Rattus norvegicus: one gene and its partners. The protein of the gene in region 2 interacts with the protein of the main gene of each other region in a pairwise test. Links are inferred from orthologs where the notes say so. Each region holds a gene or a part of one and is shown on either strand. Other genes may lie near its edges.

Evidence for each region.
Region 1: the proteins of Zfp24 (region 2) and Zfp446 interact in binary tests that used the Homo sapiens proteins (3 or more experiments, as listed by UniProt). The link is inferred for Rattus norvegicus from reciprocal best matches to the Homo sapiens genes ZNF24 and ZNF446.
Region 3: the proteins of Zfp24 (region 2) and Yju2b interact in binary tests that used the Homo sapiens proteins (3 or more experiments, as listed by UniProt). The two-hybrid records come from large-scale screens. The link is inferred for Rattus norvegicus from reciprocal best matches to the Homo sapiens genes ZNF24 and YJU2B.

What each region holds. Positions count from the first base shown.
Region 1 is NC_086019.1:82,671,485-82,677,806, reverse strand, and holds the start of Zfp446 (zinc finger protein 446), read right to left. Parts: upstream 3,888-6,322; 5' UTR 3,625-3,887; intron 3,526-3,624; exon of another isoform or gene 3,147-3,525; intron 2,764-3,146; 5' UTR 2,722-2,763; coding exon 2,380-2,721; intron 2,308-2,379; coding exon 2,106-2,307; intron 1,830-2,105; coding exon 1,735-1,829; intron 1-1,734. UniProt on the Homo sapiens protein: May be involved in transcriptional regulation.
Region 2 is NC_086036.1:15,578,152-15,584,673, forward strand, and holds the start of Zfp24 (zinc finger protein 24), read right to left. Parts: upstream 3,811-6,522; 5' UTR 3,739-3,810; intron 3,685-3,738; exon of another isoform or gene 3,264-3,684; intron 1,250-3,263; 5' UTR 1,170-1,249; coding exon 750-1,169; intron 521-749; coding exon 373-520; intron 1-372. UniProt on the Homo sapiens protein: Transcription factor required for myelination of differentiated oligodendrocytes. Required for the conversion of oligodendrocytes from the premyelinating to the myelinating state.
Region 3 is NC_086037.1:40,800,600-40,806,941, reverse strand, and holds the start of Yju2b (probable splicing factor YJU2B), read right to left. Parts: upstream 3,888-6,342; 5' UTR 3,673-3,887; coding exon 3,670-3,672; intron 2,194-3,669; coding exon 2,140-2,193; intron 1,785-2,139; exon of another isoform or gene 1,780-1,784; coding exon 1,697-1,779; intron 685-1,696; coding exon 629-684; exon of another isoform or gene 607-628; coding exon of another isoform or gene 603-606; intron 1-602. UniProt on the Homo sapiens protein: May be involved in mRNA splicing.

The DNA of each region.
Region 1 (6,322 bases), on a different chromosome or scaffold from region 2:
TGGTCTATCTCAGAGATAGTCTGAAGGACTGAAGTTGTGGATAGGTCTTGGAGAAAGACACAGTGGCTGTCCCATCCTTCTAGTCACTACACTATGAACAGGATATGCTGGGAGGTCAGTAAGAGGCCAGATACTACCTGAGCTTCAGCTACCTTCTGTCAACACTGACTAACAAAACTGAAAATTCTTCCTTGGGGTGAGAGCTTTTTCTTTGGCCTTTATTGAAGTGCCTGTGAGAAAGAGTGGGTCTGTGTAGCCCACGTTAGCCTCAAATGCACTGTGTAGCTGAGCATAACTTGAAAGTTCTGATTTTCCAGACTCTACCTCCTGAGTTCTGGGATTACCAGTTTATGCAGTGCTGGAGATAAAATCTAGGACCTCATGCATGCTAGGTGGGCACTCTACCAAGTGAGCTACATTTGCAAAACCTTTATTTCATTTTATTTTTTAGAAAGAGGATTAAGGAGCCAGGCATGATGGGTGCACACTTTGATCCCAGTGCTCAGAAGCAGAGGTCAGCCTGGTCTACATACTCAGATCCAGGACATTTGGGGCTTTGTAGAGAGATTAAACAAAACAAAACAGAACAAAAACAGGATGTGGTGGGGAGGAAGATTAAAAAGAGTAATGAAGCTGGGCATGGTGGAGCACACCTTTAGTCCCAGTACTCGGAAGTTCCTGGTCTACAAAGCTAGTTCAGGACAGCCAGGGCTTGTTACACAGAGAAACCTTGTCTCAAACTGCCTCCCAACACACACACACACACACACACACACACACACACACACACACACACACACACACACAAAGGGGTAGAGGGGGAGGAGGAATTGATGTGATGAGGTGAGTAGGTAAAGGCGATGGAGAGAGAAAGCTTAGGTGCTTTGTGCCAGGTGGCAGCCGGTTCAAGCAAGGTCTGAAGAGGGGCAATTTGGTGGCAAGACAGTGTGTGTGTGTGTGTGTGCACGAGGGCATGCATGCGTGCTGTGATGGCCATACCAAGGAAAGAATCCCTTGCCCTGAAATCTGCCATATAGGTCTTTGATAGGTTGAGAAAAATAACCCTGAAGGACAAGCCAAAGCAAATCTGGAGAAAGGAAGGTGGCTGCCACAGCTACATCTAGAGGTGTTATTAGTCTGGAATGGAGCAGGATACCAGAGAGGGATCAAAGAAGGGTTTCTTAACCTTGAAGCACACCCTAACTAGACATTCTATTGAGAAAGAAGGTAAGGGCTCAGAAGCAGAAAGAACCTAGAGGGGACAGATCTCTACTCTCTCCATGTTAACTATACACATGCAGGTAGCAGGTTAAGCTCAGCCTCTGTGTCACTGTACTCTGAAAAGAGCAGTAGAAGGGGTTTGAGGAATGTTCGGGAAGAGAATTTTGATCTGACCTCAGGACTGCAGGAATCCTGCATGGCCATCCCCTCCCCAACTGTACACATAACAACTGGCTCATGGCTTGTGTATACTGTAAACCTTTCCAGTAACTGACTTCTCTGGAGGTGAGAAATCCATGCCCACCAGTTCTAGCCACTTCTGGATCTGGGGCCTAAATCCTTTCTAATGAGAGGCTACCAATAGGACTTGATGGGAGGGAAGGTATTTACTACTCAGAAGTAGTAAAAACCACATGAGTCACTGGCAGGGGATCCTACAAAACTGTAGGGCAGAACACAAGCCACCAGAGACACTCCTCCTCCCACATGCAAGGCCTGCTAGAGGCTGTTTACCTGGATTCTTCCTGGCTGGAACGATACGGAGGCTGTTTCCTGATGTTCAAGATGTCCCTCAGGGCCCTGGGCTGGAAGGAGGGTGCTTGGAGATACTGAGAAAGAGAGGCAGATGGGAAGGAGTATCAAGCTGTTGTTACTGCATTGGCCTTTGGCCCGCCTCTGCAATTTGACATGGGGGAGATCACCCTGTTCCTTCTCAGAAATTCAGCTTTATGGTCTCTCCAGAGTCCTTATCTCAGCTGGGATTGTCCAGACTCATTTCAGGAGTTGCAGCCCTGCAAAACCTCTCCTAGAGCACCTTACTCTAACCCCCCCCCCCGTACCCCACACACCCCAGGGATTTGAGTTCAGATGCTGCATCCCCTCACCCATCTCCTGCCCATCAGCACTGACTTCCTCCTTCACACTGCAACTGATCTGGGTAGATCTGTCTATCCCTGCGTCCTGCGGTGCCTCCGCTGGGCCTGCCTTGGAGGATTCCATTGCTGCTGAGATGTGGTGGCTCCCTGAGGACTCCTCCATCTTCTGGACTGAAGGAAGTATCTTTGGCTTCAGGATGTGGGCTGTGATCTGAAGAGAAGCATGTTACAGGGGCTCTCCCTTCAATCTGTCCCTTTAAGAAGCTAATGTCATTGCACTCACCCAGCCCAGCAGCTGTCCAGGATCATGCTGCAGCTCCTCAACAAGGGCAGCGGCCTCCTCGGGGCTTCCTGGTCGCTGTCCTCGAACCCAGGCCTGGATCTCAGGAGGCAACACACCCAGGAACTGTTCCAAAACCAGCAACTCTATCATCTGCTCTTTGGAGGATGACTCAGGCTGCAACCACTGGTGACACAACTCTCGAAGCCGGGCCAATGCCTCTCGGGGTCCCTCAACCTCCTCATAGCAGAAACCCCGGAAATGGAGTCGTGCAGCCTCAGGCTCCTCAAGGGTGGTCCTGGAGTCTCTGAAGGATAGGTGTGGGGTACCCAGAGGAGATGGCATTCTTGTTTTGAGGGTCTTTTTGGAGGTGACAGAGGGTCCTACCTACAGAAAAGGAAGAATGTCATCTAAGGTCAGAAGGCATACACCAGATCCTTCCTAGAAGCCATAAAGAGAACCCTGTGGGCAGGAGAACTTCAAGGAAGGTCATGGAAGGTGCAGGCCCACAGTAGTTGAGAAAGCCTTGAAGATAACGACTTGAGTAGAAGGTGTCCAAGGATCTTCTAGAAAACTGCAAATTACTGGCTCAAATATTTGGGTAAAACAGAGGGCTGTTGGGAGATGAAAGTGGTTCCCCCGGTAGACAAGAGTTCAAGCAGGACATAGATCGGACCATCATCCAGGGTAACCTGAAGCCCTGAGGCTTCAGGCAGGAGGCAGACCACTGTGCTAGCTGAAGAGTTGACTCTGGGGCCCAAGTACATCACCTGGGGGGCAGCGCTGAAAGCTTGGGTGCACTGCCAGGGGCTTATATAGGCTGGCAGACACAGTTCACTGACCACAACTGAACTGTGGATGCCTCACACTGCCTCAGCCTATGCATGTGAAACCCCGAAACAAAAGCCAAATCAAACAGCCCCGTTTTGTGTGTAGTCAGCTGGAACCTATGTACCAGCTCTTAAGAAGTTCTGGATTGAAATCAGCTCTCCTGAGACATCTGGCCTGTTCAGGAGACACTCAGAGTTGGGGTCTCAGGCTCTGACACAGAAAAAGGGTGGGTCCGATGGCTGGGAGGCACTCTCGGCGGTCAGAGGAGGGGGATTATAAAGCTGCGCCTGCACAGCTAGGAGTGCGCTCACCTCTGACGCGTGGGGGAGCCCGAGAAGCTTGAGGCACTTCCAGGAAGTGACACGGAGCGCGTCCCACTACCACTCACAGATCGCCCCGCCTCTCCCGTTAGCCTACCAGCCTGGCCAATCCTGCACCTGCTCCGCAGGAACGGCCCCCTCCGCTTGGACTACGTCTCCCGTGAGCCTCAGCAAGGACGACAGCACGCTTCCAGGGCCTCTAACGCGGGAGGCTCTTCGTTCCTCTCCTCGGGGTCGCTTTGCCGCAGAGTTCCGGGGGTTCCCCTTCCTGACTTGGCAGCGGTTCTTCTCTTGCAACCTCAGCCGTAGGACTCACGTACAGCCGACCCAGACTGGGGGTTAGCCTCTTGACGCATGTGCACAGCGGAACTGGTTTCTATTGGCTAGTTAGGGCATCCTGACCAATCAGAGCTGGCGCTCCCCAAAGGGCTCGCGCTCCTTGTGTCTCCTAGGTAACAGCCAGCGCACAACCTACGGCCTTTTACTGTTCTCTGAGTTATGCCGTGAGGGTCGTCCTGCCTTGGAGAAGGCCTAGGTAGAGGCTTCTTGGCCTCTTGAGTCCAGGCGTCATCCCAGACTGTTCCAGACAGTACCAGTAGGAATCCCGGTGGGAGGCGAGGAATACCCACTATGGCCTCTGTGGGATCTCCGTTAAGCTCCCTGGATATTGTGGGGGCAGTAGGCCCACGGGTGAGCAAGCGCTCGGAGGAGGGAGGTAACTATGTAATTACCCCCTCATTAATAGTCTTCAGATAACTGTACTGAAAATACTTGGATGTTCATGTTTTCTCTTGGGATGGGGAAACATTTTTGTCACCAGTCCTTCCTGCCCAACTGTGTGTGATCTTAGAAATGATAAATTTTAAGATAAAAAATTGATTAGGGTTGGGATTCTTCAGTCACCCATGTTCTTGTAATGTTACAGCTATGGGTGGAGAAAGCCTTCTCCAATGACAGTGTTACAGTTCTGAAGGGAAAGGTATCCTGGAAGTTGGATACTACAAAGTCACAGCACACAACAAACCTCAGACAGGAGATTTATTGGGAGGGAAAAACTCAGAAGATGGTTGCCTCTGCTCAGGTGAATCGGGGGGCGCTGGGACGTTCCAGAGTAGGGGAGTTGGTGGGTTTTCAAGTCTTGAGCGTAGGCTTTTTACTCTGCACAGAGGAGCTTGGACCCCATGCATCTGGAGGGGCTGGACCCAGTCATTAGGGCCCTCTGAGTGTTTTGTGGGCAGCTTAGCCACTCTCACTCCTCAAATGCTTACTCTTGTAACCCTAACAAACTCATTGACCAAGTGGGACCTAAGAGGCTTTCTTCCAGTTGGAGTATAGGTTTACGGCTGCCCAGGAAAATCATGAGAGAGAGACCCCCAGTGTCAGCTCAGTATTTGATTTCCCTTGAATGCCACCCCCCCTCCATCTTCACCTACAGACTTACAGCCAAGTGTGGAGTGTGGTGCATCATGTTCAGCTGTAGAGCCAAAGGTGAAGTTTGGTGCATGTGTTTATTTGGTTTTGTGGGATTGGGAGGTGAGGGTTTTGTTGTTTTAAGACAGGGTTTCTGTAACCTGCAGCTTCAGTTTTCTCAGCTTTGAGAACACAGGCAGGTGCTACCAAGCTTAGCTGGTTTAACATTTGACTTAGAAAACCCATAGGCATTTTTACAAGCGTAGCCTGTTAAGAGGAGCTAACCCAGTATAGCCGTAGTTCTTGGGGAACTCCCACACATAGGGGAGCGCAGGCCAGTTCTCGGTATTGGAAGAGGTAGATCCAAGGAGTGTGGAGGTAAAAAGCACTCAGCTTAAAAGCAGAGGCTGGTGAGGAAGAGAAGGTGGTAACAATTCCAGTCTGTGGATCCCAGAAGGCTCAGGACTGTCAGAGAACTGTTGGGGAACTCAGTTTCCTCAACGTATCTTTGGTCCTGGGCCTTCCTGGCGTTACATAGTTCCATCCGAGAGGAGCTGACAGTGGGCCTACTGGGTATCAGGAGGCCTACCTCAGAGAATTTTCTCTTACAGGGTCTTGGGCAGCTGGATCCTGTACAGCATCCCTCCTTTCATGAATTAATGAGGTTTAGTGGACAGATGTGTCTGACTCTACTGGCAGATGGGTGGGACAGGTGTGTCTTATGCATAGATGGTAGCTGCAAGATGGTTTTATTGCTTTTTTGAGACAGGGTCTCACTATGGACCTCCAACTGCTATGTAGTCCTACTTGTCTCTGTCTCTTGTGTGCTGGGATTAGACATCTGACCTGTGTAATTTTTTTTCTGCAGACTTTCTCAGTAGCCTCACACTGATCTGGAGGGTTAACTTCAGATCCTCCTGTCTCAGCCTCCCAAAGTGCTAGGGTTACAGGTCTACACCACTATACCTCCAGGTGACGGGACGGGAGTTCCTAAAGAGCTGGACTCAACTTTACACATGCACTCATCCTCAACAGCAGACGTGCTCATAGCAGTGACTCATTCTTCCCACCCTCCTCTCTCCACAAAGGCTCATCTTTCAACAGAACTGTTGCTCTGGAGCAGATTGCCTTTTCCTAGACCTCCTGGCTTCCCCCACCTACCTGTGGCCACCAAAGGGACATAGATGACTCCATCCTACACTGGGCTACAGATAAGCTGTATCTCTGTGACCTCAGAACCCAGATTAAAGCCAAATCCTCTGTGCTTACTTCAATATCATGTCTGTGAACATCCGTTTAATATCTTCTCTAAGGTAAAAACAAGTATTGTTCACACAGGTGTGTATCAACTCAGTTTTTTCTTTTTAAGATAGGGGCTTCAATGC
Region 2 (6,522 bases):
TAATCCAACAATAAAAAAAAAATTCACTAGGTCAGTACAAAGGAGATGGAAAGCAAAAGAGCATGAAACGCAGCAGCTCAGGAATCCCATGAACAAAGCAGCCTTGGCTACAGGTCCTGGCTGAGAAACACACAAATGCTACATGGGCACAAATGTGAGCCCTACACAGGCAGGTCTTCATGAAAGAAGACGGCAAAACCGCTGAAGATGTTAATGTCTGGGAGTAAAAGTACCTCAGGCCAGTGAATCAATCAGCAGAAAAAGACAAGCTCTTAATGCAGACATATTTCTAAAACTGCAGACTAAAAGGGGTTTGCCACAAGAACAAGCAAAGCACTCTGGGGAAAGTCAACATGGTGTCCTGGTCCTCACCACAGTGCCTCAGAGAGTGGAGTTCCCAGGATGCCCACTTGAGCTGGTTCTCTACGGCGTCAAGCTCAGAACTCGGTAATCCCTGAGCGTCTTCTTGAGATGCTATCTCTTCTACAAGTACTTCCCGTTTCCGCCGACGGAGAGAAACCTGAAAACAAGATTTGAGTTTGGTTGAGAAGGGACTCTGACACTAAGCAGTATAACAGAACATACAGAAGACATGAGAATCCTAGCTAGCAGCACAGCGGAGGTCCTGCCGAGTTGCAAGGACACTGGAGGGAGGTACAGATATAACTTAGCCAAGTGCAGTTAATCCAGCAGTTTGCCTACTGCTATGTTAGTGTCCTGCCTTGGGGAAATGAGTCAAGCATGCTCACCGGCTGTCCAGGGTCATCAAGTTCACTCTCCAAGTCCTCTAGAACAGTCACTGCCTCCTCTCCGTTCTCTGGGTGATGCTCTCGAACCAAAGTCTGTAGCTCCCTGGGGAGGATGGCGACAAACTGCTCCAAAACCACCAGCTCCAGTATCTGCTCCTTCGTGTGCGTCTCCGGTCTGAGCCACAGGCGGCACAGTTCTCGGAGCTGGCTCACCGCCTCTCGCGGTCCTGGTGAATCCTGGTATCCAAACTGCCTGAACCGCTGCCGGAAAATCTCCGGGTCAGGGAGATGGTTCCAGGAAATGCTCGATCCTTCTTCACCGTCAGGATCCTCCTCTAGTTTCACTCTCAGAATTTTTTCTTCTTCATCTGGATTTGGGATGATAAGTATTGAATCTTCTTCCACTGACTGGGCAGACATCCTGTTACAATACCTCCAAGAAAAGGCAACTGAGGCAAGGTACAGACCTCAGAAATACCCTGTTTTCCTCAAAAGTACTCCTAAGGTACAAGAAATAAAAAACACATAAATCACCAAGTACCCCATGATATTCGAAAAGCAGAAGGAAAAAAAAAGAGATACATTGCTTTACTTGATTAAAACTTGAAATCAATAACTTACACTGACTGAAAGTCTGCCATAGCTGGTAAACCACAGCCTATTTACCCTGCTGCCTGCTACACCATCCGTAGAGAAGTAGTGTAAACGTTTTAATGACTAAAAAAGTACAGAAATACTTCATGCTGAGAAAATATGATGTGTCTGTCTAGGACCAGCAAGGTTACTCATCTGGCAAAGGCCTGATGACTTGAGTCCAATGACCAACATGTACATAAGAGAAAAATTATTTCTGCAAGTCTGGTCTTCACAAGTGGGACAGACAGACACACACACAGAGACAGACAGACAAACACACACACAAGATGTAAAAATGTCTTTAAAAATGGTTTATGTACACTGTTTTTGCTTGCATGTATGTCTGTGTGAGGATGTCAGACCCCTTAGAACTGGAGTTAGAGACAGTTGTGAGCTGCCATGTGGGTGCTGGGAATTGAACTTGGGTCCTCTGGAAGAGCAGCCAGTGCTCTTAACCACTGAGCCATCTCTCCAGCCCCATTAATATGTTTACATTTTGTGTATATAAGTCATTAAATTTAATCGTGGTTTGGGCTATAATGTGGTAGAGTTGACAGTATTCAATGATTTCAGCTAAGATCTAAAACAATGTAATATTTACCAGCTTGCTCTTTTTAGGAAAAAAAAAAGATTGCTAATTTGTGACATATAGTCTACAAAGGGTAATTTAATAGCCTACAGTATCTGGGTAAGATGCAGTCTACCTCAGTGTTCTCCAAACGTCCTGAAGCTTGGGACTGGAGAGTTGGTTCAGCAGTTAAGAATGCATTCCCCTGCAGTGGACCCTGGTTTGTTTCCCTGAACCACAAACTCCTCTCTCTTCTCACCTCCTCAGGCACCAGGCAAACACACAGTGCAAATATACATAAAATAACAAACTAAGTATTCAGAACAGTAGGACACATAAAACATGTTTTTTGACATTTATTTCGTGTTGGAACACATCAGCACAGGTGTGGAGGTCAGGGGACATTAGTTCCCTCCTGCTATGTGCAATCTGGGATCTTGGGAACAAGCCCCCGACCTGATGAGGCACCCTACTTTTCATTTTTTGCAAACCTGGAGTAGGAAATAGATCAACCGTTCTCCCAGTTAGAATCCCCCAGAATGAGAGACTATCCTTACCCATCATGCTCTACTGCTGAGCTAATCCCCAGAATTGTCACAAATACTCTAATGTTTGTTTAGGAACTCCCTAAACTTAAAATATATGCGAAAAATGTTCACTAGTAGATAGGTATGCGCCCAAAAGCCCAACATTGTAGGCTTTACATGCAGAAGCAAGATTATGGTCATCCATGTGGCAAAGCCAACCTGGGCTATTAGATCTTGTCACAGACTTTCTTTTACACAGTTCAGTAACAGATCATATAACACTGGGGAAGGAACTATTTCACATAACATACAAATGTTACTCAGGCTTCCACCACACCATACATACATTTAAACTTACAGTGACAAGCTTCAACCACAGCAAATTCTATTAGGAAAAAGCACTCACAACTTCTCAGTGTACGGGAGTCTTTTCCCTGATGAAGCTTCCCCTAACTTTTCCTTTGGGGAAATCTGAGCTACTTTCTGATGCTTTTGGAATTTGCAAAATCATAGCCGTGCCACGGTTTACAGCACATAAAGAATAATAAGTTTACGGCTACTGTTTATTAGAGCCAAGAACTTAAGAGACAGAAACTTAAGAAAACCATATTGAAACCGATCAAGATGAAGACAAAAGATCAGAAAAGGCTGTCTCAAACTGACAGGTCATATAGACACTCAGGAGTGGGATGGCCTGATATCAAAATCTAAGTTCTTATTCCTGGACCCGATTCTATCAGCAATCAAGCATTTCTATGTGATAGAAACTGCTTTTTCTTTTACTTTGTACTGCACCAAGCTCGTGGGATGTGGAGGAACGCCGTCCGGCACTCGGCGGGATCCTGGTCTTCAGCGACCGCCCGCCTCACAGCGCTGAGCCCAGCCTGCCCCAGCAACTCGGACGTCCTCTTCCCAGCATTCACCAGGAAGGGCTGCAGAAGCCCCAGAACCACCCCGCCACACAGGACAGGCACTTCCGCCCGGGACCGGCGGGACTACAAATCCCAGCAGGTCGCGCGCGAGAACGGCCGGATCCCCCCTCGGCTTGAGCGTCTCCCAGAATCCTCCGCGAGCCGCTAGAGCCTCGAAATAGAACAAAACCGGCCCGTGGGGGAGGGGAAAGCAGGCCGGAGAGGATGCGGGCGCTGGAGGCTCTGCGGACCCCCGAAGTGCCGCAGGTCGCCGCCGCCCTTCCGCCGCCGCGGCCTTTTATGCGCACGCCCGGAATGCTGAGCGTCGCCGGCCTCTGGACCCTTACCTGAGCCCCCGCCTCCTCGAACCCTACCCCCGCGCGCTGCTGACCTCTGGCTCGGGACCCGCCACAGCCTCGTCGTCCCGGGCAGACGCTGCGCCGCCGCTTTCAGCCGCTTCCCACAAGCCCCCGGCGCGCACGGCTTCCGGTCCGCAGGACGGGGGGGGGGGCGGGAGGGAATGGGGAAGCCGAAGCCCGGAGTTGCCATGGGGACGCGCGGTGAGCGGGGGAGGTGCCGCTTGATGACAATGGCCGCATTGAGGCTGCGCTTGGCCTTGCGCCTCTCACTGAGTGACTGTTGCTCTCTGTTCCACTTTAGAGAAAGGAAAGGGGAGCAGGAGGAACGTGGGCGGCAGTTTCACAAGTGCCCGGTGCTCCTCGCCGGAGCCCTCTGGAGTAACTAGCTTACTCCAGAGTTCTGAAACGTTCTGAAAACGTGCCATGATCGTGTCAGGCACCGTCGCTGTACAATACGTGTAAATCGTTTTTCTTTACCCGCACATCTTTACTTATTGAGCCTTTGGCCCTGAAACAAGGTTTGCCTCTAAACATGCCCCAAACCATTGTCTTCCACTACTGTGTTTCAAAGATTATGACAGATTATCAAAGAAACAAGATAGTTGAGACCTTTGTCACAGAGAATTGCAGAATATACTCATGCTGGTTGTTTGATGCCAAAAAAAGAGCTGCAGTCATAATCACTTAGATTGCCTCATTTCCCTATTTAAAGTGGATTTCAGCTACCTCAACTACCTTGACATTAAATAATTGTTACGTTGTTCTGTAGGCCATCTCTGGTCTGTTGCCTGCCTTTGCCTTCTGACCATGCGTGACTTGGACTTATTGTACAGCCTCAGCCTCACTGACCAATGAACGCCCTTTCCTCCAGGTGGCCTCAAGATGCTTGTGGACACTCTGAGAAGTGATCGCATTACTTAGCTGTGCTTTGTTTGAAAGTCTTGTAAAAAGTTGGGTCCTCCCTGTCCCTAGTTTCAGGATGCTGGCTGGTACATAGAAAACTCAGTAAGCACACTTTGAATAAATGCATCAATTGTGGGCTGGTCACATTGCCTGCGGCCTTTGCTAGGTCACATGTCAAGTCTCGGAAATCGCACAAAAGAGCTCTGTTTTGGAAAAAGTCTTGTTAGAAGCAAAGGTCAAGTTTGCAGAACACTTAAAGGATCCTCAAGCCTTGCCCTATTGTCTCATTCAGAAGGGCCTCTGCAAAGTGTCCTGGGCCTCTGCAAAGTGTCCTCGGCCTCTGCTTGTTAGTGAATGAGAGAGCAGTAAACAAGCAGCTCACAGAATAGCAAGACTTCCCATTCCAGCCAGAGCTCACCTTCCCACAACCCCTGTAACTTTTCACTCTTCACTGTGAGGTTTTAGTACAGCCTTCCCCCATCTCCTGTTTGGCTGTAGACAGGATCCGGCTTGGCTGTTCTCTGCAACCTTTTTGTCTATTGTGATTCCGAAGAGCTAACTCAAAGCATACTTTGTTTTGTTTCTTTAAGAGATTTTATAGCAAGTTAATACTGAAAAACATAATAAACCCACTCAAGTAAAAAATGTGACATTTTGTAATTTGCTTTGCCTTTTGATCCATTCTCAGTTAATTTTAAAGTAGTGAATGGGAAGGAACCATAGTGGGAATTTCCTTATGACATTACTTCTTTGCATGCACCCAGTTTGGAAAACTGTCATTTCAAGCCCTTTTTTCCAGAATGGTAACCCTCACTGTCTTCTTAAAAGTCTAGGCAACCTGGAGCTTGGAGCTGGAGAGACTGTCGGTTAAGAACTTGGTCTGCTGTTTAATAGCCCATATCTGCTTTCCAGCTCACAACCACCTGCCCTACAGCTCCAGGGGGTCCAACAACCTCTTCTGTCGCTACCACACTTGCATACACATCACACACAGTCAACATACATTTAAAAGATAAATGTTAAAATATTTAGAGCATCCTGTTCCTCTGGGTAGCCCAAGTGAGGGAGTAGTCCCATACCAGAGGTGATGACCTTGCACTCCATCCACACAGGCCTCATAGCTGAGGCTCGGTGGAATATCAGATCCTGTTGGAACAGATAGATGGGAGGCTTGTGAATACTTACTACCGGACCATTTCTTTCTGTGCCTCCCTACCAGGTTGTCCTTGACACCTTTTCACCTCCTCTTAGGTAATCATGGCACTGCCTTGCCTTCCTAGTTTAGGTACAAACTTTGAAACCCAAATTGATTAGCTACAAGAGGTTCTATAATTCACCCCACTCCTTTATATCGTTTGGGTGTAAGAGATGATCTAGCACCTCTGGCCGATCTTGCTTACATTCTCTTCTTGTAGAACCCAATCTACATGGTGGTACAAACCTTTAATCCTTGCACTTGGGAGACAGGCAGGCCGATCTACATATTAAGTTCCAAGCTAGGCAAGGCACCATGGTGAGACCCTGTCTCAACCCTAAAGAGGCTCATTTCTAATTTTTCTTAAGATTTAATTTTAGTTTTAATTATGTGTATGCATGTGTCCCTGTGCACCCTTGGAGGTCAGAGGGTGTCAGGGTATGATTACCTAGAGCTGGAGTTACAGGCATTTGTGAACTACTTGATGTAGGCATTTGGAACCACACAGTCCCCTCCCAGAGCAGTATGAGCTCTTAAGCACTGACTTATCTTTCCAACCCAAAGATTTATTCACTTTTATGACTTCAGATGTTTCCCCCGCTGTATGGATGTACGTGCACCACCTGTGTGGCTGGTGCCCTGGGCGGCCAAAGGAGGCATTGGATCCCCTGGAA
Region 3 (6,342 bases), on a different chromosome or scaffold from region 2:
TTCATTATTCTTTTCAAAGATATCTGATTTTTCCTGGGAGGAAAACCAGTCCTGTCTTCTGACTGAGTCGCAGAGCTTGACTGGAAAGAACTGAGCCTGGGTGCTGCCCATGGCAGGACCTCCCTGTCTTCCTCTCCGCCTGCTGCTTTAGCTTTGGCTAAAGATGGCCATGAGGCACCTGCGGAGGTTCAGCTCCCTCCGTTTCCAATCTTAGGAACAGGACCCAGGGGCTTAAACACTCCCCAGGCTTGGTCTCTGTTCCGACAGTGCACATCCTTAGGTAGTCTGCGGGTCACTCACCTTCCTCACAGCCTCATCCTTTCCTCCCCCAGCCACCTTGTCTCCCAGCACTGTGCTCCTAGATTGTCATCGTCTTTCCTGCAGTCTAGCTAGCCCTGAGGCAGGACCCTGCCCTGCCCTTGCCCAGGATCTGGACCTCAGGGCCTAGCTTTCTCATTGCTCTCTGGTTTGGGTACCTGCCACCTTCTGATTTGTCAGAAGGTGGGGTTGACAACATCTCCAGTGTCTCATAACACCTGGCACAGAGGGGGCTGAAGGGGTGGGCAAGGCAGGTGGGGAGGGCGACGCTCACCCATGCTCACCCATTGCGGCGCTCACCCACGCTCACCCATGCCGATGTGGTTCTTACAGCCGTCACACCAGATGTTGTATGGCATTTCAAATCTAAACAAAGACAAGGACTTTTAATTGTTGTTGTTTTTCTTCTTCTTTTTTCTTTTTTTTCGGAGCTGGGGACCGAACCCAGGGCCTTGCGCTTGCTAGGCAAGCGCTCTACCACTGAGCTAAATCCCCAACCTGTTGTTTTTTTTCTTTAAATGTTTTGTTCTTGCATTTATTTATTGATTTAACCATTGTGTGTGGTGGTCAGAAGACGACCTTCATGAGTTGGTTTTATCCTTCTATTCTGCGGGTGTGGGGACCGAATTCAGGTTATCTGGCTTGACCACAAATGCCTTTACCCACTGAGTCACTGCTCCCCACACCCCTTTTTTCTTAAGATGTATTCTGGCTGTGTTACCTAGTCTATTCCTGAACTCTTGGACTCAAGTAATCCTCCTGCCTCAGGCCACATAGTCCTTGGTAGGCAGATGTGTACACCTGTGCAGGCCCTGGCTGGCCACTCTTTCTTCTGTGCTCATTTCCTTATGCATCACTCTCTGGCTTGTCCTACCCAGACAGAGTCTGGTCCCAGGCCTGGAGTCAGGGTCTGACCACACAACTAATAGGAAAGAAGGTTCAAGGGTGTCAGGTCTTGTCTTGGCCTTAAGACCCCTGGCACTTCTTCTTTTGGAGCCATAATATAGCTGGTCTGCTGGAAGAGAGACCCACTGTGGAGCAGTCTACCCATACAGGCCAAGGCCCCATAGGACTTGTCTTCTGCCTCCAAGCACTCATCAATAAAGGAAGAAGGCCTAGTCTCCCTTCCAAGCCCAGAAGAGACGCCCAGCCTTGTTATCAATAAAAATGCTTATTGTTCTCTCATACAGCAATAGCTGACTGATTGTTCTCTCATACAGCAATAGCTGACTGATTGTTCTCTCACACAGTGATGGCTGACTGATGCACTGTCTATCAGCTTCATGGAATTATAACCTTGCAGCATTGGGTCAGTCAATTAGGGGATATGAGATCGATGCAAAGTGGAGGTCTTGGGAGAAGGGGAGAAGTTTCTTACCGGATAATAAGGATGCCTTGTGAGAGCTTCCGAGCCCGTTCTCGAAGTGGGTGGCTGTTGTGGTATCGGTTGAGAGAGCCATGCTGTGTAGAAAGGGTAAGTGAAGGAGAGCGGGCTAAGCTGGGTAGCTTGTTCCCTTGCTGTTCCTACGCTGGGGGACAATGCCTCCTAAGTAGGAGGGGCTTCATTCTTACACCCTACAAGCAACATGGGAGGTGTGGAGGTACACAGCTTGGGGCCAGGGACAGAGTTGTCCTTGGTATCTGAAGGAAGCAGTTCCAGGAGCCCCCAGGGACACCAGCATCTTTAGGAATGCTTTATATGTAATGGCATGGTAATTGGGTAGAGTCTGCACACATTCTCCAGGGAGGGGCCTGCGAGTCTTCTCTAGGTGACTTGTCACACTTGGTCCCTAAGCTGTGGGGCTGTGGGGAGATGCTCACCTTTTCGGGGTTGAAGTCCGGAGGGTAGTACTTGTTCTGGCCTTTCCTTTCCCCCTGAAAGCAGAGGGAAAAAGTTGGAGAAGGCCATGCAGGGCCTACGCACCCCATATCCAGGTTACCATGTCCTCCTCCGGGGTCTAGACCAACAAGTGTGGTCTTTATCCCTCATCAAGAAAATGTCCCTTTGCAAGAGACAGAGACCACACGGAAAGCCACAACCGATCCATACGCAGGGTTGTGCAGCAGCTGCCCAACTGCAACGCCCCCCCTCCCCCCAACTCTGGCACAGTGACCACTGTGGGAGAGGAGGCAGGAGATTGATTATGAGGTCCAGAGGACTTTGCTGTGAGACTATGTCTCTTAGAGGCATTACAAGCCATACCTGTGAAGGCTCTCCCACATGACTGCCCAAACATGAGGTGAACAAGAACACCAACCAACATGTTAAAGAGGACAGGGTGAAGACCATGAGGCCTCTACCCTATACATAGAACCACAGGCAACTGAGGAAATCTGGGAGCAGGTGAGGCTGCTCTCCCCAAAGAGAAACACACCAACGGGTTCCCAGTGCCAAATGTCATCCCTAAAAACACACACACGAGCGACAGTGTTTGCACTCAACAGGTTATATTTGGAAATGTGTCCATAAACACACATGCAAGAACAACCAATGACAGAAGAGGCCGTGAGTCTCAAGGAGAGCAGGGAGGGCAGACGGGAGAGTTTGGACGCTCACGGCAGGCAGGCTCAGCTGGAAGCAGCAGTGTTGCTGTCAGGGGTGGTGAGGCAGAAGCGGCTGCTTAGGGCTGATGGTGTCTGCCAGCCTAAGGACCTGAATTTAAACCTGGGGACCACAGGGTGGAAGAGGAACCAATTCCTCCAAGCTGACTACCACATGCACGCACACCTGTTCTACAATAAACAAAAGCATAATTATCTATTTTTAAAAGTTATTGATTAGCTTAGCTGTACAGGGCCTCCTTTTCAGAGGATGAGTTTCCTAGAGCTAAACTGAAGAAGAAAGTGGGCAGGGACACACACATTTCATAGTGGCTAGTGTAAGGCTGGGCTAAGGCAGGGCTGGGGTAAGGCAGGGCTGGGGTAAGGAAGGCTGGGGTAAGGCAGGGCTGGGGTAAGGAAGGCTGGGGTAAGGCAGGGCTGGGGTAAGGAAGGCTGGGGTAAGGCAGGGTTGGAATGTGGCTCAGTGGCAGAGCTCCTGTCTGGAACTTGCAAGGCCCTGGCTTCCATCCCCCACTCTGAAGCAGGGAGGCATAATCCTGCATTTGGATATGGATCTCTGAGGAAGAAGGACTAGGAGTTTAAGATCATCCTTAGCTAAATAGCATAAGGAAGGAAGGGAAAGGGCAGGAGGGGAGCAAGATCTTCACAGAGAGGTGACTGGGGGTGGGGTGTTCCAGTTCCCAGCGAAGCTCTGCAACCACCATATATGACAACCAATAATGACCACTCAAGGGCCTGGGATGGGCAGGGCTGCCAGGAGGAGTGCAGACCTGGGAATCCTCTACTCACCATCTTGGGAACTGCCTGTAGGGTCTTACTAGCAAGGCTCCAACTGTGAAATCAGCCTGGCGAGCACATGCAGTGAGGAGTGCCCTTTGGAGGCTGCGGGGGCTGCGGAGGCTGTGAAGATGGGGCTCTGTGGCCTGGATCTTCTGGTTCTTGGAGTTCACAGGAGTTCTGAGTTGCAACCTGACGCTGAGCCTCCACAGAGTGCAGGGGTAGCCAAGGAGAGCCTGGAGGGAGGGAGGGAGGGAGGGAGGGAGGGAGGGAGGGAGGGAGGGAGGGAGGCAGGCAGACAGACAGACAGGTAAGAGAGCCATGTGACTCCAGACTCTACACTGAGGTGTCCGAGTACAATTGGTATCTGTCCTAGCCCTTCCCTCAATTCCTACCGCCTGTCCTGCTCCTGCTGCAGAAGCTGCAAAGGGCTCCTTTTAAATGTACACTTTATAACGTGAATTTCTCTGTGTGTGTATGGCATGTGAAGCACATGGAGGTCAGAGGACAACGTGTAGGAGTCAGTTCTCTCCTTTCCTCATGTGAGCCTTTCACTATACTCAGGCTGTAGGCTTAGTGGAAAGCCACTGAGCCATCTCACCTGCCCAGTACTCACATATACTCACTGGCGCAGTACTCACATATACTCAGTACTTATATATACTCACTGGCCCAGTACTCACATATACTCAGTACTTACATATACTCACCAGCCCAGTACTCACATATACTCAGTACTTACATATACTCACTGACCCAGTACTCACATATGCTCAGTACTTATATAAACTCACCAGTCCAGTACTCACATATTCTCAGTACTCACATATACTCAGTACTTACATATACTCACAAACCTAGTACTCACATATACGCAGTGTAACCATGCCCCGGCCTCCTAGAAGCTCCCATCTAGTTTACAATCAAATCTACAGGCTTTTCTGCCTCCCAGACCTTGCTCTCTGAGGAAGTCTCTTACCCCTCTCCTCTCTTGCTCTGTTCTGGACAAGCTGAGTCCCTGGCTGTCTGTAGAGGCCAGGCAAGCAGACTGCTCCTGAACCACTGAGATGGACTCAGAACCTCACAAAGGCTAAGTCAGTACTCTCCCACTAAGCTCCACTTCTCTGACCCTCACTGGAGGATTCCAGGCAGGGGTCCTAGCACTGAGCTATAGCTTATGCCCAAGACGTACTGTGCTAGCTTCAGTTGGGTCACATCTCACTGCTGTGTGGGTAACTGTTAACTTCAAACCCAGGGCAAATGGCTGAGGCACCTAGTTAATATATCAAGTCAGACCTGGCCACCTGGTCCTCCCAGCACCCCTCAGTCCCTACAGATTAAGGGGTATGGTTGGTATATCCTGTCCCCTAAACTTTCTAACCCAGGGGTTGGGCTACCCTCCTCCCAGAGGCATATGCATGCATATATATATATATATATATATATATATATATATATATAAATTTATGCGCCAGACATCTGGGTTTCTGTATCTTTGCCCTCCTGGGTGCTGCACCTGATTCCCCCTGTCCTCTTCTCTCCTCACATGGTCCAGCTCAGTCCGGCCATGTTCTCTCTAGACTCTCCCAGACCCAGACGGCTCTGCCTCTGCTCTCCTTTTATCTACAATAGACTTTCTGCTCCACTTAGAAGCAGTCATGACCTTTCTTTTCCTTTTTATTTTTTATTCAATGACCACTGAGGACTCACACAGCACCAGAGCCTGACATTGGCATTGTGTCGGGTAAAGTCTCAAATGCAAATTGAGATGCCAGAATCCAGAAACTGCATTTAAGATTTTCCCCTCTCTTCCCAACTGCCTTGACAATGTTTTTATTTTTGTTTTTTGTTTGTTTCTGGTTTGAGACAGGGTTTCTTTATGTAGCCTTGGCTGCCCCTGAGCTGCCTGCTTCTGCCTGCTAAATGCTAGGAGGCCACTACCTCCATGGGGGAAGTTTTTTAAGAGAAATTTATTTTTAAATAGTGTGTGATTGTGCCCAGAGTCTAGGAGAGGACGTCCGACTCCCTGGGGCTGGGACTATAGACAGTTGTTGAGTCACCTGACATGGGGTCTGGGAACTGAACTCAGATATTTCAGAAAAGCAGTATGTGCTCTTAACTACTGAGCCATCTTTCCACCCTTAAATTAAGAAAAAAAGAAATCACTGTGTGTGTGTGTGTGTGTGTGTGTGTGTGTGTGTGTGTGTGTGTACAAGTGTGACTGTGTCAGTGTGTGCAGGTCAGAGGAGGAGTGGGAGTCAGTTCTCTCCTCTCCTCATGTTGGGGATAGAACGCAGGTAGTCAGGCTTGGTAGGCATACCTACTGAGCCATCTCAGTGTGCCCTCTCCCAGATACTTATGATGTCCAAGTACTTAAATACCCAGTCAGGTTGGGGGGCACAGCTGCCTGAGTTTAAATTCAAGCTCCATCTCTTACCAGCTGGGGACCTGGGTCTGACTTTCCTCGAGTGCCCGCTCATTACCTGTCAGAAGAGAATGCATTCCAGGGAGTGATGGTACATATCTTTAATCTCAGCACTTGTGTGTGTGTGTGTGTGTGTGTGTGTGTGTGTGTGTGTGTGAATGAGTGTGCTCTATGCTGAGAGATGGGAGGGCAGCTATAGTCACAGCAGAACCAGGAGGGTACACACTGAGTTTGAGGCCAATCTGGTCCACACAGCAAGA